4 linked regions of the Notamacropus eugenii genome follow. The protein of the gene in region 1 interacts with the protein of each later gene in a pairwise test. Links are inferred from orthologs where the notes say so. Each region holds a gene or a part of one and is shown on either strand. Other genes may lie near its edges.

Region 1 (7,767 bases):
CCCACTCTAGCCCCAGACATTTTGTAGTCCAGCCTTGGACTACTACAAAAACAGTTGGCCTTGTTTTTTCAGAGTTCTCCTGGGGTCAGCCTAGGTCAGGGGGAAACTATCCATTCGCATACCACATCATAAACACAAAATCAGAACCAGTCACCACCTCCTTCCCCTGTCTGTCTCCCCAGCCAACTAGTATTTTAGTGTGATGGACTAAGGTTGTCCAGGGTTGTCTCTGAGTGGGACATACTAAGAGTGACCAGGTGTGACTACTATAAAGTATGTCTATTACTGTGGAAGGCTAGGGCTGGCCAGGTATGCTAGGTATAGGACATGCCTATGTGAAGACAACAGATCTTAGTTTGTCTATGATAGTTTGTCTGTAATAGACTAGGGGTATCAAGTGTGACAGGTATGAGGTAATGTCTAGTGAGTGTGATAGGCTGAAGATGGCCAGGTGAGACAGACTCATGAATGAGGGGGACCAACATGACCTCAATTTTGTACAAGGATGGGCATTTAGGAGAGCAAAGTTCTTCAAGCACAGCCAAGCCTAGGGATTTCTTAGCCCAAGTTTGGACTTTTCCCAAGGATCCAGGGCACTAGTGAATTGCCTTAATTTGCGTCCTTGAGATCCTACATCCCTCTCTCTGGCTTCCCCATTCCTCTGAACGACCCCCTTCCATCTTCTCTATGACCTCCCTATCCTTCTCACTATACCAGCACCTCTACGTTTTTCTCCCCATCCTCTGTACTGATCCCTCCATCTCTATACTGAGGTCCTGTTATCTCACTGAGCCAGCCCAGTAAGGCCCAGTAAGTCCCATCCTCTCCAAGGTCCACATCTTCCTTCCTGACATCTGTACCAAGCTCCCATGCCATCACTGACCTTTCCCAGTCTTATTGAACCCTCATTCTCACTGACCTCCCCATCTTCTTTAGTAAATATTCCTGCCTTCACTGATGTCCCCTACTTCCTCACTGAACCCTGTCACTCTCCCCATTCTATCACTGAAACCCTATCTTCACGGCAGGGGCAATCACAAGGCTCCATCACTTCAAAGGCCTCAGCCCTGGGGTTCTCATGTGCATTGAACTAAAACTAATCTCTATCCCAGGTCACCTTATACCTGCTGCACCCTCCTCAAGGCCTAACCTGAGAAACAGGGTTGTCAGTTACTTTTCCTGTCACCTGGACAAAGATCCGACACTGAGTTGAGGTAGCCTACCCTGTGACTGGGGCCCTCTGCCCTCCTGCTAAGACAGTTTAGTCCAGGCCTCCACAGAGGGCTCCCTGGTCTCTGGGTTATATTCTGTAACAGCAGACGACCATCTGCTATCAGGAGGGATGTGGATGAGAAACTGTAGGATGGAAACAAAAAGCAGAGATGACTTTCCAGTTGTCTTTCTGTGTATGTTCATGAATGTTTAAAGTATTGAAGGGTGTTTCCAGAACAAGTTTTGCCCACCATGAGGGATAGGGCAGATGTTACAGACAATCAGAAGAACCATTGCAAATAGATTCCCAGTAAGTGAAAAGTCATGTTTAATCTCAGTCAAACCTCTTTGATTTGGATTTCCCTGATCAACACTGAATCACTGAACACTAGTGATGGGAGAAGACTTAGAACATGGAATGTCATGGCTGGGAGGGCCCTTAGAACATAGAATGTCCGAGTTGGAAGGGGCCCTAGAACACAGACTGTCAGAGAGGGGAGGAACCTTAGAACACAGACTGTCAGAGAGAGGAGGGAACTTAGAATATTGAATGTCAAAGCTGGGAGGGCCCTTAGAACCCAGAATGTTGGAACTGGGATGGCCCTAGGATAGAGAATATAAAGGTTGGAAAAAGTCCCTTAGAACACACAATATTAGAGCCAAAAGATCCGTTAGAACACAAAACGACAAATTTGGAAGGGACCTTATCATATCAAAAAATGGAAGAGACTTCAGAACACAGAATGTCAGGCCTGTGAGGGTCCTTAGAACAGAATGTCAAACTAGTTTTGGACCCTAGAACATAGAATTTTGGAAGTGGAAGGAACCTTAGTGTTTTTCCCATTTTACAGATGGGCAAGAGCTGAAGAGGCTGGCCCAGAACCCGGGTCTCTGCTTTCAACAATTTGGACCAGGGTGGAAAATGTATTCTAGGCATGAAATACCTTCCCTACGCTTAGTGGAAGAGGGGGAAATGATGGTGAGGGAGAAGGGGAAAGGAAATGATGTTTCCCAAATGGATGTGCAGTATAGATAGATAGATAGATAGATAGATAGATAGATAGATAGATAGATAGATAGATAGAGAGATAGATAGATAGATAGATGTATATGTATATATGTATATATATTTTTTTTGAGAGAGAGAGAATGAATAAGTTTAGTTTATTTAACAGAATGACCCATTCTTGGATGCTTTGGAAGCACCTCCCGGCTTCAGGCTCCTTGGATCTGTAGTCACTTAATCAGGTCACCTCAGGAGCTCTCCTCTTTGGTACTTTTTCAGTCTACAAGTACTTCCTTTTTTTCCCAAGTAATCAATAATTCATATTTGTCACAGATTCAGATTGGTTTACCTGCCATCCCCAATTATCTGTCCCCAACTGCTTCTAATTAAGGATTAGTGAAGTATTATAGGGGGTTTCACTTTCCCTAATGTGAGGGGCTTGGTCTAGATGGGGTGGGGCAGCAAATTACAATCTGCAAGCTAGATCCAGCCCAGCCTATTTTAGGATGACCAGTGGCTAAGAAGGATTTTTATATTTTAAAATAAATTTTGATTATATTTAAAAATAGAAAATATTTTGAATTTATGTATGTACAATGTATCTTAAAATATAAACATATTCTTAGTTCTTCAGGAGGTATAAAAACAGATAGTGGACAGGACTTGGCTCCTAAGCAGTAGTTTGTGGGCTCTCTGGGCTAGAAAATCTCAAAGTTCCCTCCCAGGTCTCACACTGTGTGTTTATAACAGCCTAGGGATAGCAGGGTTAACAAGCTTAAGATACATCTATGTGAATGTGACAGGGTAAAAGTGACAAGGTTGCATCTAGTTCAAACATTCTGTGTTCTAAGACCCTCCCTGCTCTGACATTCTGTGTGGTAAGACCCCTCCCAATTCTGCCATTCTGTGTTCTAAGGGTCCTCCCAGCTATGACATTCCATGTTCTAAGGGTCTTCCCAGCTCTGACATTCAGTGTTCTAAGGGCCGTTCCAGTTCTGACATTTAGTGTTCTAAGGCCCCTGACAAATATGTTCTATATTTTAAGATTTTTTTTTCCTGACTTAGATATTCTCTGATCCTTTGTATATGCTAGGTAACATTTATTTGATACACAGTGGCAGATATTGCAGAAAGGTAGTCCAGTAATAGTGCAAATTGGCTGCAGGTCATCCCCAAGGTAGCCTATGGAAAACAGTTACCTATGTTTCTCCCTACCCTTCCACCCAAGAAGCTGAGCCTCCCTTCCCTCTCCATGCCAGTTTAGGTGGGATTGGTCTTTCCACTGAGCATGGAGGTACACTGAAGCCCCAAGCAGGCTACAAACAAAGCAGATTTTTGTCATCTTGCCAGGGATCACAATGAGAACCTGGAGTTCCTCCCATCTTGAGAGGAGACCAATAAGTTTCAGAGTCTCCCTTCTCCCAACTCTTTCCTTAGAAGTCCCCAGTCCAGTGAGGAATACACTCCCTACCCTTGAAGAATCTTCATTTGATAGGAGAAACCCAGTTTCTGACCTCCTAAACTGAGTTGGAGAAACAGAGCATATCACACATACTCTAGGAAATGCCAATAAGAACATTAATAACATTCATTCTTGTAGCGCAAACTGAATCCTCAAGTGTTGGTACGATGGACTTAAATCAGGTTAATCCAAGGAAACTTCATGAAGGTGGTGAATTTAAAGGAGATGAGGGAGGTTTTCTTGGCAAAGAATCCATGAGGTTTTCTTGGCAAAGACACTGGAGTGATTTGCCAATTCTTTCTCCGGTGTGTCCCCATTTTACAGATAAAGAACTGAGGCAAATAGGGGTTAAGTGATTTGCCCAGGGTCACTCAGCTGGCAAGTGTCTGAGGCCGGATTTGAACTCAGGTCTTCCTGACTCCAGACCTGTACTCTGTCCACTGTGCCACCTAGCTGCCCCAGTATGGTTTATAGAAGGAACCAAAAATATGCTAATGTGAATATGTTAATAATACCTGACATTTCTATAAAACTTTTAAGGTTTACAAAGTGATGTGCAGTCAGACATCTCATTTGAGCCTCATGGCAATGATGTGGGAGTCAGTGCTACAGGCATCATCATCCCCATTGTATAGATGACAAAATGGAGGCTCTTAAAGGTGAAATGATTTGTCCAAGGCTGTATAGCTAATTGCTGTCCAAAGCCAGATTTGAACCCAAATCTGTCCTTGTTCTATAACCCTAACAGATTTAGAGAGGAGGGGAAATGAAAGGATGGGTATCTGCTGCTGCAGAAAACAGAGCCAAAGGTTCTGAAAAGCAATAGAAGCTGTACAATCACTCTAAAAATATCTCTTCTCGAGGGCTAGGGAAGATTGGTAACAGCCAGGCTGTTCTCAGCCAAGCCGCCACACCAGGCTGGGTCTCTGCACCTGTGGCGGTGACTCACCGGGCAGAGGGAGGAGGCAGTATCTTCTCTCTCTTACTTGAGGGGGGGGGGGAAGCTGGGGGAAGAGGAGGGCACACATTGGCCCCATTGTGCAGAAATGGAGACTGAGGTCTGAGAGAGAGGAAAGGGATTTGACCAACTCTCACGGGGATGGTACAAAGGCATCTCAAACACAGAAGTGTGGCTATCTTTCCTTAGGACTGATGTCCTAGGACCTGTTAGAATAATCAAGATAGGGGACCATGAGTGACACTGAGCTTCTTGGTGAAAACAGAAAACATAGGGCAGGGGAAGGGAGGCAGAAGACCGAGATTCAGATCCTAGCTTTAGTATTTTCTCAGCATTCAGACTAATGCCTTGTACATTATAGGTTGTTGACTTAAATTTTAATAGTGTGACCTTAGGGTTGGATGAGATGATCCCTTCAAACTCAGAGATTTTGTAAGTGAACTGAACAGGGATGAAAAAGGAGGTCTTTCCACTGTGTGACTTTGGGAGGTATTTCTTCTCTCTGACCTTCTGATGTAAGGGATGTAAGATGCAGACTTAATATGAGCCCTCCCTGCCTGCCCCATAAAGACTGTGAAGTCTTTAGATGGAAACAGCTCCTTGAGATGCCCAAAGGAACTGAGCTGAGTCAGGAACAGGGTGAGAGCTGTAAACTATTCAAATATTATCTAGGGGGAGGGTGACCAGTAACTCTCCATCTCCCCGATCATTCCAGAAGAGAAGTGAGCTGAAGTTACCAAAGAAAGGTTTTGGTTAGACACACAGCAAGAAAATGTTTGACTAGACACAAGGAGGAACTTCCCCAGTGCTAGAGATCATATTATACTTCAACAAATGTACTGAGGAAAGAAATAGCATCTTCCCTCTCTAGCTTCTTTATCAACTGGAGAGAAACTGCCCACTTTGATGCAGAAGGATACAAGACATGACCTCTAAGTGCCCCCAGGAAGCAAACCAGTTTTAATTCTTTTTTTTTGAGGGGAGGAAGGAGAGTTATTCATTTGGCATGAATTTATTAAGTACCTACTATGTGCCAGTCATCTTACTAAGTGTTAGGGATATAAAGAAATGCAAATAGCAGATTGAGGAGTCAGGTTTTGACCTCAGGATCAGGGTAAACCAAGAGTCTAGGAAAGGGGTCTGTAGTTACTGGTTTAGATCTGCCAGGGGATGCAGAGGTCCAGAGTTCAAATCTCATAGTCTATTAGTAACTACATGAATGACCTTAATCAAGTCACTACCCTGCTCTGGGTCTCAGGTGCTTCAATGGATGCCAAGATCTTTTTTTACTTCTAAAGCCTTTAGAGAATAGGGGAGATGCTGCTAGAGATCCAGGCGTTCCTTGTCACTAATCTCACAGAGGACAGAGCTGACCCATCCTGGGGGAGGGGGCCCTGAGCTATGCTCCTGCCTCCATCCCCTCTCTCCATCCTTCTCAGGCTGTGTTTTTCCAATGGCCAGTGACGTGGTTGGTTTGGTCCCAGCTGGGGAAGGAGGAGCCTGTGACTCCACCCAAGCCTGGTTCATTACCTGATGTCTCTATGGCAACCACGGGTGACATCACAAGGACCCAAGTCCTGAGGGGGAGAAGGAGGCAGGAGGTAACCAGCTGTAGGCTTGGACCCTGGAGAGGAGATATAGGAATGGGAAACCAAACTGGGGAGGGACCAAGAAAGGCAGCATGGTGGAAAGAATCCTCCCTAGTGGAATGGATTGAGCATTTGGCTTGGAAGCAGATGACCTGGGTTCCCACTCTGCTGCTAACTGGCTATGTGGGCAAGTCACAGCTCTTGGAGCCTCAGTTTTTCCATCATTAAAATGGAACCAACCCCAGGTGGCTCCTCTGACACTTCCATCTTGTCTCTCCCTGCCCTAGCCCTCAACACTAAGAGGCAAGGTAGGGTGTTGTTGTAGGATTAGTGACGGCCCCACGTAAAAGGATGCAAGCATTTTTTAACATCTTTCAGTAGATATGTGGAGGGCTCATCAATATTCTTATTCATCTTTAGAGTTCAGTCTCTGTGAAGGTGAGGTCATAAAATATCAGAGCCTGGAGGACCCTGAAGACATCGAGTGCTAAAAACACAGAATGTCGGAGCTGAGAAAGACCTCAGAATACAGAATGTCAGAGCTGGGAGGGCCTTAGAACAGAGAATGTCAGAGCTGGGAGGGCCTTAGAACACAGAATGTCAGAGCTGGGAGGGCCTTAGAACACAGAATGTCAGAGCTGGGAGGGCCTTAGAACACAGGATGTCAGAGCTGGGAGGACCCTTAGAACATAGGATGCCAGGCCTGGGAGGGCCCTTAGAGAAGAACCCTTGATTTAGAGACTGATGGATGGAGAATTTGAATCCTGTTCTTCCACTTACTGTAACCTGTGTGTTCTTGGACAGGTCACTGAACTTCTGGGCCTCCCTCAGTCTCCTATGCCCCTTTCCTTCTCTCCTTGGAGCTGGATGGCCTCTGCATTTTACAGAGGAAAAAATGAAGAGCAAGGGAGGAAAAGTGACTGCTCAGAGGCTTTGAATCTGGGTCGTCTGCCTGGTTCTAGTGCGGCCTCTCACCATCCCACACATCGTCTCTCCCCCATCTCTTCAGATGGGCTGTACTTGTAGGGCACTTAAAGGCACAGTACCTGGTACATATACAGCAGGTGTTTAATAAATGCTTTGTATCTTCCCTAAAAACACCCACTTCTAGGTTGTATATGACCTGTTAAATGCAGGTGTTCCTGACCCCTGCCCGTTCCTCTGAGAAACCTTTAACTCAGCTGTTTTTCTCAGCCTGCTTGATGGCTCTAGGTCTTACTGGGGTGAATTTGGGGGATATTTGGCCCAGCAGATTGGGCTCTGCCCCAGGGCATCAAGATTCACCCCAGGGAAGGAAAGGATAGCTAGGGTCTGGGATGAGTCCCCATAAGAAACCTCCTACCCATTCTCCTAACTGAGCATATGCCCAGCTGTGCCCATCAGTGCCCTGGGCAGGGCTGAGTGACCCTTCAGTGAGTCACTCCTAATGAAAGATATCTCTGGGCACAGTGGCACTCCTCCTTCCTCGAATAGTAAGAGGGCAAACTGAAACCCGGGCCTATCATCCTATCTTCCTATTCCTCAGGTGCTCAGAGGCCCT
Region 2 (7,320 bases), on another chromosome or scaffold:
GTTATAATCTCCCCACCCTCCTTCGCCCATCTAAAGTAGGCAAGAACCAGATAGCAGAGATCAGTCATGGTGGTGAGCTCTACACTGTGGGAGCCTCCAGGCTGCACCATTTGCTTGGCCTTTCTGAGCCTGAGCATGCTCAAGGAGGGTAAGGGGGGTGTTCAATGAATTAGAAGAGATACAACTGTCAATGCACCATTTGCACTGAGCAAAAGAGTGGATAATATTTGTTTATTTTTTTAAGGTGCTCAACACAACACCTTGTACGTAGTACGTTCTTATATAAATACTTATTCCCTTCCCCTAATCCAAGACAGAGAAATAATCCCCAGATCATGTGGATTAGGTTTGGGAATGAATGCTCTCAAGAAGCAGCTCATTGAGTCAATCTCTGCCTTCACTGCTTCAGGCCCCAGTTTCTCTTTTTGTTGCATTGGCCAGAACCTAAGATTCCATCCTGCCTTAATATTCTGAGCAATTCTCTTTGCAGGTGCCTCAGTCTAATGGCTCAGGCTGTAGGCCAAAGGAGGACCCCAAGGCTGCCACTCTGGAATCCTACGACAGGATGAGCCACTTGTCCATGACTAATCAGACACTGTACATCTTAGAAAGACTAACACCCGTCTGAGGGACCTCCAATTTCCCAAAGCATTTCCATGCATACTTCAGTCACAGCCACAAGATTTGGAGCTAGTCATCTGTGGATACCATCTAGCCTGGCCCCTTAGTGTAGAAAGAAGGAAATGAAGTAGAGGGAGGCCCAGAGAGCTGAAGTCACTTGTCCCAGGTCAAACAGGCTATACATCATAGGACTAGGATTCCAGTGCACGTCTTCTGCATTTATGCCTCTTGGATGGTCTTTTCACTGTACCCTGGAGCCTGCTCTGGCTTAGTAGCACCTCTTAAAAATGTTAGGAACTAAGCAGGCCAAATCAGAACTTTCAGTAAACATTGTTAAGGGGCTCCTGTGTGCCAGCCACTGCGTTAAACTACAAAGGAAAAAGAGAAACAGTTCCTTTTCTCAAGGGCCTTACCTGCTACTAGGCAGAAACAACACATTGACAAAAGAGTAAATGCAAACTGACATTGTGTTCATCCTTCATTGCTGAAGAAGACCAGGCCATCAGAGAAATGATGACATGACTTGCACTTGACTTTGATTTGAGTGAGGGAGGGTTGTGCAGGTCACTAGCCTCACTTCTCCTCCAGAACCATTTGAATCCAGTGAGCAGATATTCATCAGGATGACTGGAGATGACCCAGGATGCACTGGAAGACCTCAAGCCTTTTAGACCAAGGTCTTTACAGGCACTCCCTTAGGGTGAGGTAACTCCCATTCATTGAACAGGCCTGTTTAAGAAGTATCGAGGGCATGGCCCCTTTAATGAGGCCAAGAAAAAGAAAGACATCAGTCTGGGAGGGAAACAGCAATAGTTACTATTAATAATCACTCCAAAGCCAGGTGGGTCCAGGGGCCCATTGGGGAAAGGAAGGGAAGGGGAAGGGAGGGAAGCAAACTGACTAAGGGAAGAGGGACAAGTTACTGGGGGTGGGTAGGCTTAGGGGGAAGTACTGATTACTGGGTGTAGGGGGCGGTGCTCAGCGCTTGAGCTGAGTCTGGAGGGAACCTAGAGATTCTAAGAGGCAGAAGGGGAGTGGGGAGTACACTCTGGCCATGGGAGACGTTGTGGGTGGGGTAGGAGCTGTGAAAAATGATTATTGATAATCAATATCTTGGAGATTTCGAGCTTCTCCCTGCCCCCGTTTTCCAAAGTCCTGACTTTAAGTTCAGTTTTTCTTTAGAAGGACATTGCTGATAATGAGATTGCAAGGACTCTCCTTATCTTGGTCAGCCCTCCACCCAAACTCGCAAGTAATTTAATCCAAGGTAGGGAAGCCCTGGTGTTCTACTTAAGCTTGGGTGGAGACAGACTTTTTTGTCTACATAGCCCAAGGCTGGGAGTGGTCTGGTATGGGGGTGTTTTCTCTGTCCTGGAATGAAATGATGACAGAGTGACTTCACCCTCAGTTGGAAGGATATATAAACTATAAACTACACATGCGAACCCCAAAGGGAGCTCAGTTACAAACTGCAGGTCCCATGCATGATGCGTGCATGTTACCTGCTTTGAGAGAAATAACCTAACTCTGAAGGGGGACGGAGCTAAGGTCCTACCCTGCTGGGGCAAGGCTAGCTTTTCAATAAAAGCTACCAAAACTCTCCTTGAGACTTAATTGGCTCAGAGAACGAAGACTCAGGTCACGGATCTGGGATTCTAGTGTCCTGAGTACCAAAAAGCCAGGGCACAAGAAGTCAGCAGCTTCTCTGTCCAGTAGAACAGCACAGGCACCACAGACACAGGAAAGCTAGAACCAAAGGCTGCCACCTTGTTGAACATGCCATCCCTACACTTGGGTAACGCCCCCATGTTCAATGGGTGTCTTATCCTATTCCAATCTTGAATCTGACCTGCCAGACTGGCCTAAGGGAGGCCTGAACTACCATGCTGGACAAGAGAGAGATCGAATGTTGGATACAGGGAAGAGTGGGTAGGTCAGTTGGGCTACAGTATAATGTATTGTGAGATGGAAAACTGTGGGATAGTCTGGAGAAAGTGTGCTGGAGACATAACGTAAAGTTATTTTGTTTTGTTTAAGGACAAAAGAGCATGTGTTTTATCCTGGAGGAAAAGGGGAGCCACTGAAGGTTCTTGAGCAGAGGAGGAATATGTTAAAAGCCTTGCTTTAGGAATATTCATTTGGTAACTGTGTGAAGGATGGATTCTAGAAGGGAAAGACTAGAGGTAAGGAGAACAAATGGGAGGGGGAGGAGTTTATTAAGTACAAGGAAATAAGGGCTCAGAAAAGTTGAATGACTTGCCCGGGGTCAGAACAAGGTCAGAGACAGGACTTAAATCCAGGATTTACTGACTCCAAGTCCTGTACCCTCTGGCATCATCTTTCCTCTCAAGGTCGTGGAATGGACAGCCTGGGTGAGTTCTAGCTCAGCTCTTGGTTAGCAGCTTGGCTCGCCACAGGGATCTTGAAAGGGTACATGTTAATCTCCAACCACCAATCCATCATCATCGTTGCCACCACCACCATCATCACCATCACCATCACCACCGAAGTTATCATCACCCTTAAGAATAGCTCCTTCCTTATGTTTCTACAGCATTTGGGGTTAGCAGAGCATTTGCCTCACTGCCTTGTGGGTTGGGTAGAGAAGTTCATGGGCTCTGGACCCAGGTTCAGATGTCAACTTCTGACCCTTGGATGCTTAACCTTTGTGGGCCTAAGCTAATCCTTCTATAAAATGAGACAACTGGACTAGAGGACCTCTGGGATATCTTCCAGCACTAAGAATCTAGGAGTACAAGTGTGATTCATCCCCTCTCCCAAAAGAAAAATGGAGTCCTAGACAGGGGGTTGGAGGTAATCTAGCCCTGCAGACATTATCTGGTGAGTAGGAGGCTGGGAGCTGCTTCATCAATGCTTGTTGACTGACTGAGTCAGTCAGACTACTGCCATCACATAAGAGTGGGTACAAGGAGGAGAGGAAAGGGCAGGATGGAGAATCACCACTCCCAGAGTTCCAAGGACAGTGAGTCCCACAGAGGCTAATGTCATAGAACTCGAGGATCTCAGATCCACAACTGGTGGCCACCCTCCCACATGACCTTGTGGTTCACAATATTGGGTTCATTGTCTTCTTTGATCCTGATAGTGCTAGGAGAGAAGTATATCCTGATCCTCATTTTATGGATGGGGAAACTGAGGCAGGCAGCAGTCACGTGACTTGCCTACACTCTCTGCTGGGAAGCGTTAGAAGCTGGATTCCAACTCAGTCTTCTGACTCTGGGCCCAAAGCTCCAGTTTTGCTCGCCCGTCCTACCAGTTGACTCCACTGGGTTGACCAGAGGTCCCCTTCAGGCCCAGGACAATTAAGTGACAAGAGCAGGGCCATGACTTGGGGTGGCAAGGACACTGGAGGCCCCTGGTCGGGAGATGGGGCCGCCCAGGAACCGCTGTTCTAAGCCAACCTTTTTTTGGAGCCGAGGAAGCTGAGACCAGAGAGAGGTCCTGGGTCCCGCCCAAGTGTCGGGAGCCGGGCTTCGAACCCTTGTCCTGGCAGAGGGAGCGGCCCCGGCGCCGACGCAGCAGCGACCCCTGGCGGCCTCGGCTTTCCCGAGGGCGGGGCGGGGTCACGAGCCGGCGGCGCGGCAGCAGCCTCTGCCCGCCCCGCGTACGCAGGTGCGCCCGGCTGCGGAGGGGGCGGGGGCGGGGGCGGAGGCTGGGGCTGGCGCGCCTGCGCACTGAGCCCAGCCCAGACTGTCACTGGGGTCTCGCTGCTGAGCCGCCGCAGAGCCTAAGCGCGAGCGCGAGCCGGGGCGGGAGCGGACGCGGGCGCGGGCGCGTGCTGCGGCGGTGGCGGCGGGGCCGGCGAGGCGCGCGCCGAGGGGACCGAAGCGGCTGCCGCGGCTGCTGCTGCTGCAGAGAGACAGCCGAGCCCGCGACGGACGGACAGGCGGCGGGACCGGCGCACGGACAGACGGGCGGGCGGACGCACGCTCCATCCCCGAGTCCCAGCCCGAGCTGCGGAGCGCTTTCAGTTGCATCGAGTGGCAGTGCGTGCTTGCCCCGCGCCCCACCAGTAAGTGCCCGGCGCCGGCGAGCCTTCCTCCTCCTCCTCCTCCTCCTCCCGGGCCCGGGCGGGGGGCGGGGGGCCAGGCTCTCCTTCCCATAGTCCCAGGGTCCGGAGGCACCCATCAGAAATCCCGCCTGGGGCAGCCGCGGGGTCCGTCCGGGGGGAGGCAGCTGGGAAAAGGGGGGCTGCCCCTCGGGGGATCGCGCAGCCCGTGCATGAACAGCCCCGGTTGTCCCGCACGTTCGATCGGCCCAGTCCTCGATGGGGCGGACGGCTCGACGCCAGCCGCGTGTTGCTGCCTGGGCTGCTGGCCCGGGGTCCGCCGGGTGCGCACTCATGGGCCGGGCAGCGCGGGGAGGGGAGCGGATTCCGGGGCTGGCTGTTCGGGATCGCCCGGGAGGCCCCGGCCCCGCATCCTCGAGGAGCGCGGGGCTTTTCTGGGCCCTGGGGGCTCGCGAGAGGGTTGCCCGGGTGGTCCGGGGTGGCTTTGTCGGGAGCAGGCTGCCGCGCAGGGTCGTGGGGGCTGCGGGGCGGGCGCCAGGAGAGCCTTCCTCCGAGAGCCCGAGGGGCTCCCCGCCCGCCTGGAGGAGTGTTGCGGGCTCGCCGCCCGCCCGCCACCCAGCAGCGCGGGGGGATGGGCTGCCACAGGAGCCAAGGTCATTGGGGCTTCGGGTCGGGAGGTTCCTGGTGCCCAGCCCGAGCAGCCCCTTCTCGCGAGGTCCGAGGCAGCCGGGGCTCCGGACGTTAGATGGGGGGTTTAGGAGGTGGGTGCGGGCTCCCGCAGAGGACGGGCTGAGACGGCCTCGCTGCCAGCCTAGTTACCTGGTCGGGCTGCGACCTGGGCTTTCAAGCGAGCCTCGCGGTGGCTCCTCCCGCCCCGGGAAAGAAAGCAGATCTTGGGGAGGGGGAACAGGAGGAGGACGAAGAGGGAGGGTTTCCTTGGCGGAGGCGTTGAGGGTCCAATTGAGACAGATCTCCAGGGGAGCGGAAAGGGCAGGGGGGGATGCGTGTGGCCAGCTGGCCTTTTACTGCTTTACCCTCTCACCTGGCTAACCTGGGGGTCCAACCTTGCGTGCAGTCCGAGGCCGCCGGGGACTTCCCAGACTTACATCCTCCCCATCTCCCCCCGGTGCCCTGGTAATATCCGAGAAAAGGGCCCCCTGGGAGCGTCGGGGAGAGGGTCCTAGGGTACGGAAAGCCAGGGAACGGCTCTGTGGCTGGTGTACCAGAGCGGGGCGGGCGGGTATGTGAGGGAGTGTGTGTGTGTGTGTGTGTGTGTGTGTGTGTGTGTGTGTGTGTGTGTGTGTGTGTGTGTGTGTGCATGCGCGCGTGTGTTTGTGTGCCCGTGTGTGTGCGAGTGTGTACACGCACGTGTGTGTGCGTATGTGTGTACACGCACGTGTGTGCCTGTGCTTGGGTGCTGAGGAGGACGTCGACCATTCCAACACCGAGGGCTTCCAGAGACCTTAGAGGCCGGTATCTCCTATCTCTCCTCCCCCCGCCCCCATTTTACACTGTGAGAAACGGGGAAGGGGGCGGGTGGAGGGAGCTTGCCCAAATGAGGGGGGGGGGGGGAGTTATGTAACAATAACTTACATTTCAAAGCACTTTCGTGTTTACAAAAGGCTTTGTACCCGCCTGGGGCAAGCTCCGGAGCCCCTTTGGTCCCTTCCAGCCCCTGGCCATCTCTAGTTGTATAAGCAGAGGCTTGGGGTCCTCGGTTCAGGGTTGGGAGCACCTCCCGGCCCTTGGCCCTCCTTTCTCCTTCATAGCTCTTAAAGGATGCGTTTAAATGGGTCCCCTCAAACTCAAGAAATCCCTTTCCACCAAACAAGGTTTATCCATATTCCCAGGCAGTGGGATGGAGCAGGGCAGCCTGTAGGCCAGGGGGCTTCGTTAGCACTGCGTCATGGACGGTGGAGGATGATGTGTGACTTAAAGCCTAGGCATGCATTTAGGTGTTAGGACTAGGGAAGAACTCTGGCTCTGTGTATCTTCTGTTCAAGAAGAGGTTGGAATAGGTAAAACATTCTTAACCTGGGGTCTATCAACTTTATAATTAAATATATATTTCAATATAGTTGGTTTCCTTTGTAATTTTATGTATTTTATTTTATGCATTTATAAACATTTCTGAGGCTTCCCTAGACTGAACCCCTTGCCTGGATTCTCTCTAAGAACCTGTCCTCAGATGTTAGGTGCTAAATTTCCTGTTTGATTGGAACTCAGGGCTTAGATACTCAACATGTGTTCTTGGTTCTATACAGATTAGTCTCTCATTAGTCTCAGCTCATGTCCTAAGCTCTTCCTGTCCTCCAGACTGGTTTTCTTTCGTCCATCCATCCAAAAGAGGTGGAGGTGGGGGCAGAGAGGCAGGGGCAAGAAGGTGAAAAACCAATGAATTTGGAATCGGAGGACCTGAGTTCAAATCCAGGCTTTGCTGCCTCTCCATACAGCAAGGGGGTAGGGCCAGGCGATCTCTAAGGTCCTTCAGCTTGGTGCAGGGAAAGGAGAATCTGCTCCACAGTCAGAGGAATTGAATCTCACCTCTTCTGCTTACTGCCTTCCAGATTTGGGACAAAGCCCTCCCCATCCCCTGGCCTCTGTTTCCTCCTCAGTAACATGGAGGGGCTGGTCAGATGGTCTTGGAGATCCCTAGTGCTGGCCCTATG
Region 3 (7,901 bases), about 24 Mb from region 1:
AAAGACTGATTAAGATTTCAACAGGTAAAGAGAGGGAGGTAGGGCAGTCCTAACTGAGGGGAAAATACAAGTTGGTTAAACATGACATTGAACAGGTCTCTTCCTCTCAGTTTCCATATGTAGAAGAAAAGGTTAGATCAGACCAGGGGTGGGTTCCTGACCTTTTTTTGGACCCCATGCCCCGCGGCTTGCTTTAAATCTTCTCATCTTTCTGTCCAATAGGAAAAGAAATAAATATATATTTATAATCATTTATATATAGATCATTACATTATAATATATTATATAATAATATATATTTATAAATATGTAGTTATAACAAGGTGCCACAGTTGATAGAGTACTAGACCTGGAGTCAGGAGGACCTGGATTCAAATCCAGCCTCACACACTTACTGGGCGAGTCATTCGGCCTCTCTGTGCCTCAGTTTCCTCATCTGTAAAATGAGGATAATAGTAGCACCCACCTCACAGGGTTGTTTGAGCACCAAATGAGATAGTGCTTGGAAAGCTCTTTGGAGATCTTTAATTTGCTATAGAAATGTGAATTACTGTGCTCAGACCTTCTAGGTGCACACATCCCCCACCTTGGGAAGCCCTACACTGTGTGACGATCTCCAAGCTCTCTCTCAGCTCCAAGGTCTATGAGTCCCAGATTCCAAGCACTGCAGTTAAAGGGACAGCAGTGGGTGTGTAGCTGAAAGGAAACTGGACTCAGAGTTAGGAAATCTGGGTTCAAATCTAGATCTTTCCACCTGTTCACTGTGTGACATCGAACCGGCTGCTCCTCTTCTCAGAGACTCAGTTTCCTCATCTGTAAAATGAGGGACTGGACAATTTCCTCCCTCCCGGGGTGTTTGGAGGAAAGGCAGTTGTAAAGAAGATCTAGAAATGGGAATCAGTTATTCTCAAGCTTCTCCTACCCCCCTGCTAGCACCTTCTCCCAAAAACCGGTCTCCCAGGAAACGTCTCCCCCCAAATCATTCCCCAGAGAGAATTCATCATACTCTCGTGATAACAAGTGCCAGAAAGCTCCCCACACCACCCCCACAGCTCCTCCAACTTCCCGTCAGCCTAGACAAGGCAGGAAGGCAAGAAGGTACTCTTGACACTAAGTACAGCTGGTGAAGTCCCAGAAGGTAAGTCACAAAGTAAGCCAGATACAGAACTCTGTCTCCAGGCAGCCCCCAAAGCAACCTTCTAGGCTTTCTGCTGCTAAAACAAGACCAGGGACTACCCTGATTCAAGCTCAATTCTCCCTCCAGGGGCCCGACATCCTGCCCCCCACACCCCTCAGCTCTATTGGCTGAGTCAGGACTCTCCCAAAGGAGCTATTAACTCATTGTGTGACATTGAAAAAAATGCCTTCCCTTCTTTGGATCTCAGTTTCTTCATCTGTAAAATGGAAGATCTAAATACTTATGTTCCTATGAGTGTATGGTGAGTTCCCCTCCTTGTCCCTCCCCACTCCTCAGATGTTGTGAAAGGTAGGAGGGTGGTTGCTGATGATAAAGAAGCTCTCCATGGTCAACTGGACGTCCTGGAAACATCTTCACTGCCCCTAACCTTCCTCGCTGCCTCTTGCTGACCCCTCCCAATGCTCCCTACTGCCTCCAACCTGCTCTAATGACCTCAGTACCTCCCACTGCCTCCCAATATTATTTTCCTTATAGCCCCTAATGCCCTTCATTGATCCCCAAAACCTCTAACCTTCCTCACTGCCCCTCATTAACCCTCAGCACTCTCCAACCTTTTCTTACTGACCCCCAATATCCCCACTGCCCCTACAATGAGTCTGCTCCCCAGCACGTCCCACTGCTCTTTCCACTCTTCACTGATTTCTCAGCATATTATCCACCCCCAATACTTCCACTAACCCTTCAACAGCTCCCAGTGGTCCCCCACTCATACCCCTCACCCCCATGCTTCTAAAGACCACCTCTTCCCCACCCCATGCACGAAATGCCTGCTACTGTGGGGTTGGTCTCTGTCTCCCTCTGGTGACCAAGTTAGGTTCTGCATTCCCCTGTACCATCAAAGGACTCTGGGGAGGCTTTCTGCATTAGAGGGTATGGGGGGTGGGGGGTGGGGGGAGAATGGGGTGTGTGCTGCTGAATCAATGAGGATGTCAGCTTCCTTTGCCACCAGTGGGCAATTAATTGGAAGAGGACTCACAGGCTGCTAAGGAGTTTATTCGCTCACTAAGGTCTATCTGTCCAGTCTACACTATGTACAGGGACTTGAGTGTGCCATGTTGGGTTGGGGAGACCCAGGGATCCTGATCCAGATTGGTTCAGACAGTGACAGAACAACTGGGCTGAAGTATGGTGGAAAGGACACAACTTTGGGAGTGAAGAGATGGCTTCAAATCCCAACTCCAACACTGGCTGCCTGTAAGATTTAAGGCCACCTCCCTCCCCTCCTCTGGTCCTCAGTTATCTTTCCTCATAGTAGAGGAGGTATGCAGTAGTGGATACAGTTAGGAAGGCCTGAGTTTGAATTCTGCCTCAGAGATAATCTTTATGACCCTAGGCAAATCGCTTAACCTCTCTGGCCTCAGTTTCCTCATGTGTAAAATGAGATAGCTGGAATCAAAGATCTCTAAGATCCATTCTAGCTCTAAGTGTCTATGAACCTATGGTAAAATGAGGGAAGCAGGTAACCTCAATGACCTCTCTAGCCCTTTCCAAATAGGAAACCTCCGAACCCTGAAGCTGATTGCCCTCCAGGTGAGAGTGAGCATGGGAGGCTGCCTAGGGGGAAAGCACACCCAGAATAAGAAAGAGGCTGGCCAGGAATATTCACATCATCAGCGACAATAATAATATTTGGCCCTGCCTGTTACTAGAAGTCGCATCATCACCTTGTTTGTGCATGCCTTTCCTCTTTGGTTCTATGAAGAGGCCTGGATTTGATGGGTCCAAGTCTCTGCTTCTCAGTCTTGGTCCCAATGCTTCTTAAAGGAGTTTTAATCTTGCTTGGAGGTAGAACACAAGGCCTCTTCCATTTGTAAGCCATTTTCAAGAATAACTATGTTATTTGTGCCGCTAGGTTGCACAGTAAGACCTGAGTTCAAATTCAGCCTCAGACGCTTATTAGCTGGGTGACCCTGGGCAAGCCATTTAACTGTGTTTGCCTCAGCTTCCTTATTGGTAAAATGAACTGGAGAAGAAAATTGCAAAAAACTCCAGTATTATTGCCAAGGAAAACCCCAAATGGGATCACAAAGAGTCTGGCACAACCAACAAACGATTTTGTCAGGATGTAGGACTCAGGACCCCTCCCTCCCTAAAATAAATTCCTCCTCCTGCAGTTTACCCTGATGGTGGGCGGCTGTGAACTTAGCTAGACTGGTCCTTGGACAACAGACATGAACTCCATCACTGAGCCCAAACTTGAAGCCCTTTCAGCTTGGTAACATGTGCCTGAGCTAATAGTGAGAAAGATTTTTAGGACAGAGGGTGTCCTATCACAGAATCAGAGATTTCAAGGGGGAAGGTGCTTAGAAGTCATCTTGTCCAACTCCCTCCTTTTATAGATGAGCAAACAGAGGGACAGAAAGGTTAGTGAGCCTAGGTTACACAGTAAATGGTAGAGCTGAGATTCAAACACAGTAAGGTTCGGACAGTATAGCCCTCCTTTGGTATAGGAAGAGAAAGAATCCCATAGAGATGAAATGACTTGCTCAAGGCCACACAGCTAATTGTGTGCCAGGCCCTGTGCTAAACATTTGTCAAGCGTTGTCTCCTTTGAGACTCACCACAGCCCTGGGAGGCAGATGCCATTGTTAAGTCCATTTTACAGTTTAAAAAACTGAGGCAAATAGAGGCCGAATGACTTGTCCAGGGTGATACAGCTAGCGAATGTCTGAGGCTGGATTTGTTCCTGACTCTGGACTCAGAGTTCCATCCACTGCACCACTTTGCTACCTCTAGGCACACGTTCTTTCTGTAACACTTTTAGGTTAAAGTTTACTACTGCTCCGAGAAGTAGGTAGTACAATCATTATTTTGCCTTTTTTTTTTAGGTGAGGAAAGTAAGATTCTGGGACATTAAAAAGCAGGGAGAAGAGGGAATTTTATTACAACTTTCAGATATTGTATTATGCCTTTCAAATTGGCAAAGATGACAAAAGATGAAAATGGTAAATGTTGGAGGGGCTATGGGAAGATAAGCTCACTAATACATTGTTAGTGGAGTTGCAAATTAGTACAACCATTCAGGAAAACAATTTGGATCTATTTTCAAAAAAGTAACAAAATTGTTCATACCCTTTGACCCAGAGATACTACCCCAGGAGGGCAGCTAGGTGGTGCAGTGGATAGAGCACCAGTGCAGGAGTCAGGAGGACCTGAGTTCAAATCTCACCTCAGACGCTTGACACTCACTAGTTGTGTGACCTTGGGAAAGTCACTTAACCCAATTGCCTCATCCTGGGTCATCTCCAGTCATCCTGATGAATATCTGGTCACTGGATTCAGATGGCTGTGGAGGAGATGTGAGGCTGTTGGCCTGCACAGCCCTCCTTCACTCAAAACAAAGTCAAGTGCAAGTCATGTCATCATTTCTCTGATGGCATGGTCTTCTTCAGTAATAAAAAACGAACACACACAGACACACACACACTACTCCAGGACATATACATTAAGGGGGTAAAAACCAAAGGGTGAAAGGTCCCATAAATACATAACTGCTTTTCAGCAGCATCTTTTGTAATAACAAAGAACTTGAAAGAAAGAGGGAGCTCCTAGGGCCCAGCCTGGGGAGTCAGGTTGTCTGGGGCGCACAAGGGCTGAGGGGACTTGTCCAGGTTCCCAAGAAAAGAATTCTCCTTTGCCAAGGCTGAGACTGAGCTCTCTGTGTGCTTGTGTGCCCGCAGGCTGGGCCATGGGGAAAGGAAGCAGCAAGCTGGCTCCGGAGGTGCTGGAGGACCTTGTGCAGAGCACAGAGTTCAGTGAGCAGGAACTGAAGCAGTGGTACAAAGGCTTCCTGAAGGACTGTCCCAGCGGCATCCTCAACCTGGAGGAGTTTCAGCAGCTCTATGTCAAAGTAAACCTCCCTTCTCCTCCCCTTCCACCTTCTCCTGCCTGGGCTCTTGGGAAGAGGGATGGAGGATGGATGTAGAGGGAGGTCAGGTCCAAGGTCAGCTGAGAGAGGGTCCTCACCCAAGGGTGGGGAGTTTGCTACAGGGGCCTTCGCTGTACTGAGAGATGTGTGGATCCTACCTGGAGGCCCTCTCCATTCTCCCCCTTCTCTTCTGAGCCAAGAGCTCACCTGATCCCCAACAGGCCCACCTTTCCCTGCCCTGGAAGTGTAGGTGGACTTGGGCTTACTTCCACCATGCTCTAGGAGGCTAGGGTGGGGGGCAATGGACTGGGGGAACTCTAGGGACAAGCCTGGTGGCACCTAGGCCTACAGTTTCAGCTCCCACCAGGACCCTGGGTTTCAATTTTTTTAAAATTTGTTTTATATTTGTTCAGTTAACAAAATCTATTTTCTCTCCCTGCGCCTAATGAAAAAAACAAAAACAAATCCTTTGTAACCAATAGGCGTAGGCAAGCACATAGGCAAACAAGACAGATTCCTTTATTGGTCATGTACAAAGCTATGTGTCTCGTTCTGCTCCCTAAGTTGATCATCAGTCTGTTGGGAGGGGGGTAGCTTTCTTCTTGGTCTCTTGGAACCCTGGCTGGGCATTGCATTGACCAGAATTCTTAAATCTTTCAAAGTTGTTTATCTTTACAATGTTATTGTTACAATATGAATTGTCCTCATGGTTCTGCTTACTTTTCTATGCATTGGTCCATACAAATCTGCCTTGGGCTTCACTCTCCTCTCCCCCAGGGCACTTTGCCTCAGTTGTCTGCGCTGTCTCTTGTTCCCTGTCTGATCTTTGCTTCTCTCTTGTGGTGTGTGCCTCCTTGTCTCCTTGATTCCCTTTCCCCCCAACTCCTTCTCTTCCTCTCCTCCATCCAGTTTTTCCCATATGGTGATGCCTCTAAGTTTGCCCAGCATGCCTTCCGCACCTTTGACAAGAACGGGGATGGGACCATAGACTTCCGGGAGTTCATATGTGCCCTGTCGGTCACCTCTCGAGGAAGCTTTGAGCAGAAACTTAACTGGGCCTTCGAGATGTATGACTTGGATGGTGATGGCCGCATCACCCGCCTGGAGATGCTGGAGATCATTGAGGTGCTGGTGGGGAGTCAGCAGGGCTGGGGCATTGGGAGGGCTGGGGGTCAGAGCAGGGGAGAAAGAGGGAAACAAAGGAGGGCAAAAAGAAGTCGGGTTTGGAGGACAGAGAGTGGGCTGCATGACTGGGGTGGTTGGATTTGGAAAGGTCAGGGGTCAGAGTAGCAAGTTCAGAAGTCAGTTTTGTTTTAGATCAGAGGTCAGAGTAGTCAATCAAGTTAGAGTGTGAAGGCACCGGTGACCATCTAGTCCAGCCCAGACATGAACAAGGAATTCCCTTGGAGCCCTCTAGTGACAGGGAGCTCATTCTTTCTGGGGGAGTCCATTCTGATTTTGCACAACCCTATTATGAGGAACTTTTCCCTTTCATCAAGCCTGAATTTGTGTCTTTTCAACTCAGCTACAGCTACAGGTTCTGCCCGCTAAGGCAAGAACAAGGCTGATCCCTTTCCCACAGGAAAAGTGCTTGAAGGTGATAGATATCACTGCCCGAATCTTCCCCCACCAGGTTAAACGGAGCGCAGTTCCTTCAGTTCCTTCGGCCAGTCTTTAGGCAACATGACTCTGAAGCCCCTGGTCAGGGGTCAGATATCAGAGTGGAGTAGTGAAGTTTGGGAATTGGTGGTCAGGGTGAGTGGTGAGGTCTGAGGTCAAGGTTCAGAAGTCAGAGTGGGACAGTGAGAAGGCTTGGTCTAGGCCAGTAGGGCCTGAGGGGCTGATCCCAACCCCCCCTCCTTTTCCTACCTCTCCACCTAGGCTATCTACAAGATGGTAGGAACGGTCATCATGATGAGGATGAACCAGGATGGGCTGACCCCTCAGCAGCGCGTAGACAAGATCTTTACCAAGATGGATCAGGACAAAGATGACCAGATCACCCTGGAGGAGTTCAAGGAGGCCGCCAAGAGTGACCCATCCATTGTGCTCCTGCTGCAGTGTGACATGCAGAAGTAGGAGGGCCTAACCCCCTCTGTCCAGGGCATCCCTGTGCCCTTCCACAGGACCTCCTAGGGTCCTAACCCCTTTGTCCAGGGCATCCTTGTGCCCTTCCTCAGGACCTCCTAGGGTCCTACCCCCTCTGTCCAGGGCATCCCTGTGCCCTGCCCTGGCCTCCAAGATCCTAACCCCTTCTGTTCAGGGCGTCTCTATGTTCTAGCCTCCTCTACCCAGGACCTCCCCTCCCCTATCTCCAGGCATTCCTGGGTCCTAGCCCCCTCTACCCTGGCATCTTTTTGTCCTATCCTCTCCTCCCCTACCCCTCCTCAGAGCCACCCAGTTTCCAACCGTCCTCTGCCCTGGACCTCCTTCTCCCCATAGTCTTCTGATGTTCTACACTTTTCTGCCCCAGGTTTCTCCCATCTTGAGGCCTCTCCAACTTCCCCTCCTTGGGGCCTCAGCCCACCTCTGCCTTCCCTCTCCCCAGGCTTTTCTAGTGTTCCATCCCTCTTTGCCCCAGGTATCCCTCAAGCCCTAGGCCTTGGTTGTGGCTCACCCCCCCTTTCCATGGGCCCCCCTCATCCCAGGGTCTTCCAGGGGCCCAGCTCTCTTAGTCCTGGGCCCCCTCCCTGTGTGACCCCTTTCCCCAACCCTACAGTTTTGCCCCTGGTTCCCCCTTCTCTTCTTTTGAACTTGCTGGCAGAGCTTAGGGGCAGGCCTTGAGGAGGGGGGTATTCCTAGCCCCAGATCCATCACATCCTGACTTAATACTCT
Region 4 (7,068 bases), on another chromosome or scaffold:
GCCAGGGACCCAGAAACCCGAGATCAGGTTGGAGGGGAGAAGAAAGGGGAGACATAGAAGGGATGGATCCTTCTTCCTGCTCAGCATGCCTCCTTTTAAACGGCTGTTTCTAGTCAGTTGGGGAAAAGATTATCTTACTTAAAATAAATTCAATGTATAAGTATGTGAATATATTAAATATATGGGGACTTAAAGAAAAAGAATGGGATGTTCTTAATGAAAATCTGGAAGCAAAGAGTACTTGCTGGCTCCTGTGTCTGAGAACCGGGGTTCAAGGCTTGACTCTGCTACTTGGTAGTTCTGTATGACCTTGAACAAGCCATTTCCCTTTGGGCTAGAGTTCTCATCTGGAAAATGAGAGGAGTTGGCCTGGATCTCTAAGGGCCCTTACACCTCTAGACTCTGTGGTCTCCTAAAATCCAGGGACATCTATTTTGGACTGTCAGGGCTTTCTTTTTGTTCTCTTTCTAGTTTTTGGCTATGTACCCAAACAGTCCCACTGCTCCCCAAAAGACCTGGAGTCCAGCTAGTCTCCTCACATGCCAGGTGAATTCTTATCCCCAGGCCTCTGTTCTCCCTGTTTGAATACCTCTCCCCTCCTTTCCAAATCATCCCCATCTTTCAAAGTCTGGCTCCAATGCCAGAAAGCATTCCCTGACCTCTTGGATAGAAGATAAAGGCTGCTAGGTTGGCCCTCCACCTCACCCAGAGCTCCTGCCCTCCTGCCAAAGCTTTTATTGTGGCTCTATTACTGTGGATGTTTGGATCATAACCTGAACCTAAGGTCTGAAATATCCTGAATTTGGAGTCACTGTTTAGTGTCAGAAGGAACTACAAAGGCTAATCTGGCCCAACTGATGCGGTTTAAGGGGTTCAGGGACCCCCGAAGGACTGAAGTACTGGACAAGTCATCTGGAAAGAATTCACAGACTCAAGCATTCCTTGACTCAAAGTGGCCAAGGTTTATGGTAACGCCACTATGGTGGGCAGAGTTCCTTAAAGAACTTGCAACTTAATAGGAATGATGCTAAAACTTATATAGGAAAAGTAGTGGACCATCTGGCAGATATGCTAATTAAGTGATAACTTACAACCCTGGTCACTGGCGTCATTCACTACTGGAAACCAGGGTAAGGGGTTTCTCAGGGGTGTATTTTTGGTCTTTAGGTTCTGTAGCAAGATAGCTTTGAGAGCTGGTGTCTACAGCTTGGCATCTGGATTGAATATGATAACTTTGGGAATCAATACATGATAATTCTATGGTTACAGAACAATCCTGTTTTTACAAGAGAATTTCTTCAGTGCTCAGCTTGTTTTCTGATGGGGAGAGATAGTTTGTTTTACTGGGGCACACTCATGAGTTATTGGTGGGCATAGTGTCCTTGGGCTCAGGAGAAAACTGTCAGGAATAGCGTTTTGAAGCTAGGGAGAATGTGATCTTGGAAGTGGAGTCTAAGCACAAGTATCAGATCACAACCTCTTCATTTTACAGATGAAGAAACTGAGGCTAAGAAATAAAACGACTTAGCTTCACAGAGAAACAAGTGGGTTTTGTACAGAGATCTCTCCAATTCTAAATCCAAAGCTCTTGGATTCCAACTCTAGGAGCTTATAGTTGAGGTGGGAAGATAAGATGGAGAAAATGTGATCAGACCCTGTCACAATCAACAGTACAAACAATGCTGCAGTCTCAGAAGGCCTTTGGGGGGGGAAGCAAGACCAAGTATACAGGTCTTCTGAGTATGTGTAATGAAGGGTAGAGTGAGGAAAGGCAGGCTAAGAGGAAAAGAAAGGAAACAGAACAAAGAATTATGGTCAGGCAGACACCAAAATCTGCCTGGAGCTAGTTGTGTTGTGTTGGCTGGAAGGGAGAGATAAAGCTAGACCCAGGGCTAAAGGCCTTGAATGATAAGCTAAACAGTGGAGTCAAACTCAAATAGAAGCAGATTCCCCAAAGGTGACGTATTGACTTAGAAACCTACAAATTAACATTAGCTATGAATGCATGTATGTGCGTGTGTACATGTATACAAATATATGTATATACATATATATGCATACACACATACACACACATATATATGTACACACACGTTTTATTTTATTAAATATTTCCCAATTATACTTTAATTTGGTTCAGGCATTGGTTTGACACCTGTGAGCTTTTATCCTGCAGGAACTTTGGAGGGAGGCTAGATGGGGGCAGCTAGGTAAGGGAAGCAGATAGAGCACTGGCCCTGAAGGCAGGGGGATTTAAGTTCAAATCTGACCTCAGATATTTAATAGCCATGTGACCCTAGGTAAGTCAATTAACCTTTTAAAAAAGAGACAGATAGGCTGAATCTAGGGAATTACTTGGTAAAGTTAGCGTTTTAGGAAAGTTCATCTACCAACACAGCTTCAGGCTGTGAACCTGATCTGATTTTGATCTACTAGGGAATGACCCTGGAGGCAAGGTGGTCATGTAGAAGACAGTCTTGGAAAAACTTGAGTGAGGGCCTACATACTGAAGTAACTCCACAAAGGACCTGAGCCAAACTTCTGGACACGAAAAAAAGAATCCAAGAATAGGAAATCTAAAGATAACACCCCCCCCCCCAACTTGAATTCCTAGATTGGGTCCCCAGAGAGCAACAGCTACCAGGGCTCTCAGGGGTTCCCACTCCTAACACTAAAGCTTCACAAGTTTCAGCCTGTATGTCTTCCCTTAACAGACATCTGGTAGACATACTTAGCTGTTTACTAATGCTACTGTTTACTAAGATGGCATAATAAGAGTAGTAGCTATAAAACATTACCTCCCCCCATAAATTGGGGGTGCATATTGCCATAAATATACAGAAGATCTTAATGAGTGGGCTCCAATTTGGAGTCAATGACAGATATAGAGAACAATACATCTTCAAGGCAAATCACAGCCACGCCAGTCCAAGACTCCAGGGTCTAGCCATTTCTCAAGAGATCCTCCAGTGGTTTTCTGCTGAGCTTGAGGCAGGATGCTCTACTTGTAGGACAGGCTTGTTTCTTATATGGCGCAGCTTCTCTGGTGAATAATAGCTCTGCTAGATTCCCCTAAGATTTGTTTACTCTTCACCAGGCAGTTATGGTCTCCTCTTTCTCCAGTGGAGACCTAGCACTAGCAGAATCCTCCCCAGTTCTGCTCCTTCAGGGTCTCAGATAGCAGAAGTTTTAGCTTTTCATCCCAAAATGATTCTTCAAGTATCTGTTGGGCAGAATATATCCTCTTCGGGTACCCGGCTCTCATTCTAAGCTACATGACAGATGAGGATGAGAGCGGAGATGAGAGAGATGACAGAAGTGTCTTCCTTACTTCATACTTCTGATGGGGATAAGATCTGAACCCCCCAAAAGAAAAGACCATGTCTTTGGGATCTGGACCCCTAAAAGGAAAAGTCCCTGGACTTTCCCCTGCAGCTCAGGTCCCTGGTGGTCGCCTGAGGCCCTCCCAGTTAACTTCTTTATTTTCTTCACATCTAGACTCCTTCTCTGTTCTCTCAGCTTTTTGTATAAAAGACCCATCTTGTCTCCATGCAAAGTGCTCAGACTCCTTAAGGGTCTAGCCAATGCTTGGATTACTTAAGAATCTGGCCAATATGGCGCATTTTTAGAATCAGGCCCCTCTTCTATCTGTGTTTTAATAAACCTTGTCTTTGGCTGCAAGAAGGCTTGGGCCAAATTCATTGCGGCAGGACGTGCACGTCACTATGTGGGGTGCCAGCACCCCTAAGTCTCCACAGTTTCGCAGGGCTTCCCTCCTGGCCTGGCTCCTGGACCTTGGCTTCCTTAGATTGCCCCTGTTCTGTCCACAGTGACTGGAAAGAGAAAAGCCCTGGTTCGGAACCCGCCTCCCCCGTTTCCCAGCGCGCGATCCCAGCAGTCACTGGACTTGCTCAGCTTGTTTCCTCCTCGGTGACCAGAGGACCCCCCGTGGAGTTCGAGACACGACTGGAAAGGGCCCGGCGCACGTCGGTCAGGATGGCCTTGAGGGGGCCTGCGGGGGTGGGGGGGGTTCCGTCCGGGGCCGGTGGGCCGGACCACCCTCGGCTGACTCAGCTAGGGGCCTGCGGACGCCTCGACCGTCGGCTAGCCCTCGTGCGCCCCGCCAAGGTTTGCCAGCCCTCCACGAAGGGCTCTTTTCCCTCCTCCCAACAACCCTGAGCCGGATGTTAGGGTTCTCCTCATTTTACAGGTAAGGAAATGAAGAGAAGTGGAGGGCAAGGGGCTCACCCGGGGTCGCCCGGCTCAGGGCTGGCGGGGAGAGCTCCCCTCCCCCTCCCCCAGCACCAGCACCGTGTCTGGGTTCGAATCCGGGCTCCAGCAGCTAGCTGTGCGCGCCCCGACAAGTCCCCTAACCTCTCCGGGCCTCAGTCTCCCAGCTATGTAAAAGGACCGGGGTGGGAGGCCCGGACCGGATGCACCTGGGAGCTCCCCTTTCCTGGGCCCAGCTCCAAGGGGCCAGCCTAACTGGATGAGGAAAGGAACTGCTGGGGCGGGGGTGGGGATGGGGGGGTCGGAGGCGTCACGGGACAAGGCCGCGGTCAGGACTGGCGCCTAGCTTGGGGTGATCGGCGTCCGTCGCTCTCCTCCCTCCCTTTTTCCCCCGCCCTCACACACCGAACCCCAGGCAGCCCGGGGACCACGTGATCGTGCCATCACATGACGCTCTCGTAATGGGAGGGTGAGGTTGGCGGGGTGGCAGCGGGGGTGGGAGGGAGTCCGGGTTCTGCCGCCCCGCTGGGGGGGTGGTGGCAGCCAATGGCGGTGGGCCGGCCCCGAGCTCTCAGCCAATAGGAAAGAAGTGGGCGTGGCCCCCAAATCTGGCCGGGTCGGTCGGCGTGTTGCGGCCCCGCAGTTTGTGGCCCAGGGCAGTGAGGGTTGCGCTAAGGTAAGCAGGGCCGTCTCCCGGGGGACCCCGGCCAGCGGGGCTCTGCTTGGGGAGCGTGGGGGGGGGGGGGCTAGTGGGCTCTCCATGCTTGGAAATTGGGAAGGGGGGCTTCTTTTGGGGGGGGGTCAGCCCCCAGCGGGGGGGCTGCTAGTGAGCGGTGACCTCAGTGACTGCCTTCCTTGGAAGAAAGGGAGCCTGCCCATGGCCCCCAGACCCCTTTGAAGTTAATTTCCCGTCTCCCCCACCTCCGTTTAAAGTGGACACCCTGAATGATTTAGAACACTGAAAACAAATAAAATAACAAAAAAAGTGGGTACCCTGGCATCCTGGGGGTCCCGTCTACCCCCCGTGCCAGTTGGACGTGCTCTCTTCCCTGGGCTATTATCTGCTGGGGCAAAGTCCCCAGAGCCAGGAAGGAGGCAGGCAGGAGTCTGTCCCCACCCCCCCTCAGTCCCTAGGGAAGGGGTGAAGAGCCGGACACAATCAAGCCTTGGGCAGCCTGGCACAGCCACAGGACTGGGCCCCCTTCACCCCATCCCCTCTGTGGCTCCCTACATCCCTAGAAATAGCTTAAGAAGGAATAGCCTTTGGGAGTCTGGTTCAGGGTTCAACAGCTCCCTAATAACTTTTTCTTTTGGGTGTCTCACCCTCCTGGCTTCTCTCTGCCATTTTACAGCCCTGAGTACAAGGCGGTCCAAAGCAGGCACAAGAACAGAGAGAGAGAGGAGGTTGGGAATTGGTATTACTAAAACGTTGTTTCTCTCTTCATGCTGTACAGCACAACACACACAACTCCCCTAGGCTTGATTCCTTTTTTTGCAAACTCAGTTGTATTTCTCCTGTGGTTTTTTTTTTTTTTTTAGGAGGAGCCAAAGGTTGGGCTTGTATGGGTCAGGGCCTCAGGTCCTGAGAGGAGGAGTTTATCCAAGTAAAAGCTTTCATCTCCCCATAGAGGAAATAATTTTGTAGAGGCTGGAAACCTTAGAGACTTTGGTGTCTGCCCATCTTTAGACCTTACATTCCGAGAGGCCGAAAGAGAAACAGGTGGAACACCTAGCTAGTGTGGGGAAAACAAGAAATAAAGCAGAGGAGGACCTAGCTGGACCTCAGAAGCTTTGGATTTTTTCTGGGAAGAAAGGAAGGCGGAGGATGAGGAAAGGAGCCTCCTCGTCAAAGTGACTTCTGTGGTGACCAGGGAAGAGTAGGATGAAGGATACCTGGGACTTAGTTGCAGAGCAGGGTTTGAATTTACCGTCACCACTACTGTAATGTCCCACCTACTTAGCTACATCAGATTTGGGGGGCTTAGTCTCTCCCTGTTTCTGCCCCTCCCTCCATCCCAGCTTGGGGATATCTGGATTTCAAGGAAACTTGGTCTCTCAGATGAGGTAAAGGGTAAGAAGGAGGTAACCTCAAAGACCTGTCCTAAAGCTGTTCTCCCCTCCCAACCTATCTCATCTGTGGCTTATGTCAGGAAATGATGCTGACACTTTCTCTTAGCAGTTACTCTTAGTGACCCTGATTTTTTTTTCTTCTATTTCCTCATCTCATCGATTATTGATGGAGGGGGTGAGGCAGGCAAACGTAGAGAAAGAGGGACAAAGAGTTGAATCAGAAACATTTCCCAGATCCCAAGAGCCTGGCCTCTCTCCAGCTTCCATTTTGGAAATTTGTTGAGTTGTATTTAGTCACGTCCAACACTTCATGACCCCTTTTGGGGTTTTCTTGGCAAAGGTATTAGAGTGGTTCGCCATTTCCTTCTCCAGTACATTTTACAGATGAAGAAACTGAGGCAAACAGGGTTAAGTGACTTGTCCAGGGTCACACAGCTACTAAGCATCTGAGGCCTCATTTGAAACCAAGTCTTCCCAACTCCAGGCCGGGCACTCTATCCACTGCACCATCTGGCTTCCCATCATCTTGGAAATGTGTTCTAATATTACCCAACCTCTTCTTGGATCAGTGAAAATGACATCCTCCCCCATAAGTTCTTAATCAAGGGCTGGGTAAGGGAACCCATATAAGAGTTTCCTGCCCTTACATCTATCCTTCTTTTGCAGAAGTTAGTATCACCCCCCAAACCCTTCTTCCCACCCCATCCCCACTCTTGAAATGATCAGTCTTTTCCCTCTTTGAGCTTGAAGGAAGGGATGACCCAACAA

What was found.
Region 2: the proteins of FAM131C (region 1) and VSNL1 interact in binary tests that used the Homo sapiens proteins (3 or more experiments, as listed by UniProt). The two-hybrid records come from large-scale screens. The link is inferred for Notamacropus eugenii from reciprocal best matches to the Homo sapiens genes FAM131C and VSNL1.
Region 3: the proteins of FAM131C (region 1) and HPCAL4 interact in binary tests that used the Homo sapiens proteins (3 or more experiments, as listed by UniProt). The two-hybrid records come from large-scale screens. The link is inferred for Notamacropus eugenii from reciprocal best matches to the Homo sapiens genes FAM131C and HPCAL4.
Region 4: the proteins of FAM131C (region 1) and GRN interact in binary tests that used the Homo sapiens proteins (3 or more experiments, as listed by UniProt). The link is inferred for Notamacropus eugenii from reciprocal best matches to the Homo sapiens genes FAM131C and GRN.

What each region holds. Positions count from the first base shown.
Region 1 is NC_092876.1:55,563,104-55,570,870, reverse strand, and holds the start of FAM131C (protein FAM131C), read left to right. Parts: upstream 1-4,767; 5' UTR 4,768-7,236; coding exon 7,237-7,291; intron 7,292-7,767.
Region 2 is NC_092872.1:756,458,820-756,466,139, forward strand, and holds the start of VSNL1 (visinin-like protein 1), read left to right. Parts: upstream 1-4,307; 5' UTR 4,308-4,654; intron 4,655-7,320.
Region 3 is NC_092876.1:79,423,875-79,431,775, forward strand, and holds the start of HPCAL4 (hippocalcin-like protein 4), read left to right. Parts: upstream 1-4,885; 5' UTR 4,886-4,886; coding exon 4,887-5,048; intron 5,049-5,975; coding exon 5,976-6,191; intron 6,192-6,947; coding exon 6,948-7,145; 3' UTR 7,146-7,901. UniProt on the Homo sapiens protein: May be involved in the calcium-dependent regulation of rhodopsin phosphorylation.
Region 4 is NC_092873.1:349,631,394-349,638,461, reverse strand, and holds the start of GRN (progranulin), read left to right. Parts: upstream 1-4,068; 5' UTR 4,069-4,184; coding exon 4,185-4,210; intron 4,211-4,803; exon of another isoform or gene 4,804-4,906; intron 4,907-7,068. UniProt on the Homo sapiens protein: Secreted protein that acts as a key regulator of lysosomal function and as a growth factor involved in inflammation, wound healing and cell proliferation. Regulates protein trafficking to lysosomes, and also the activity of lysosomal enzymes.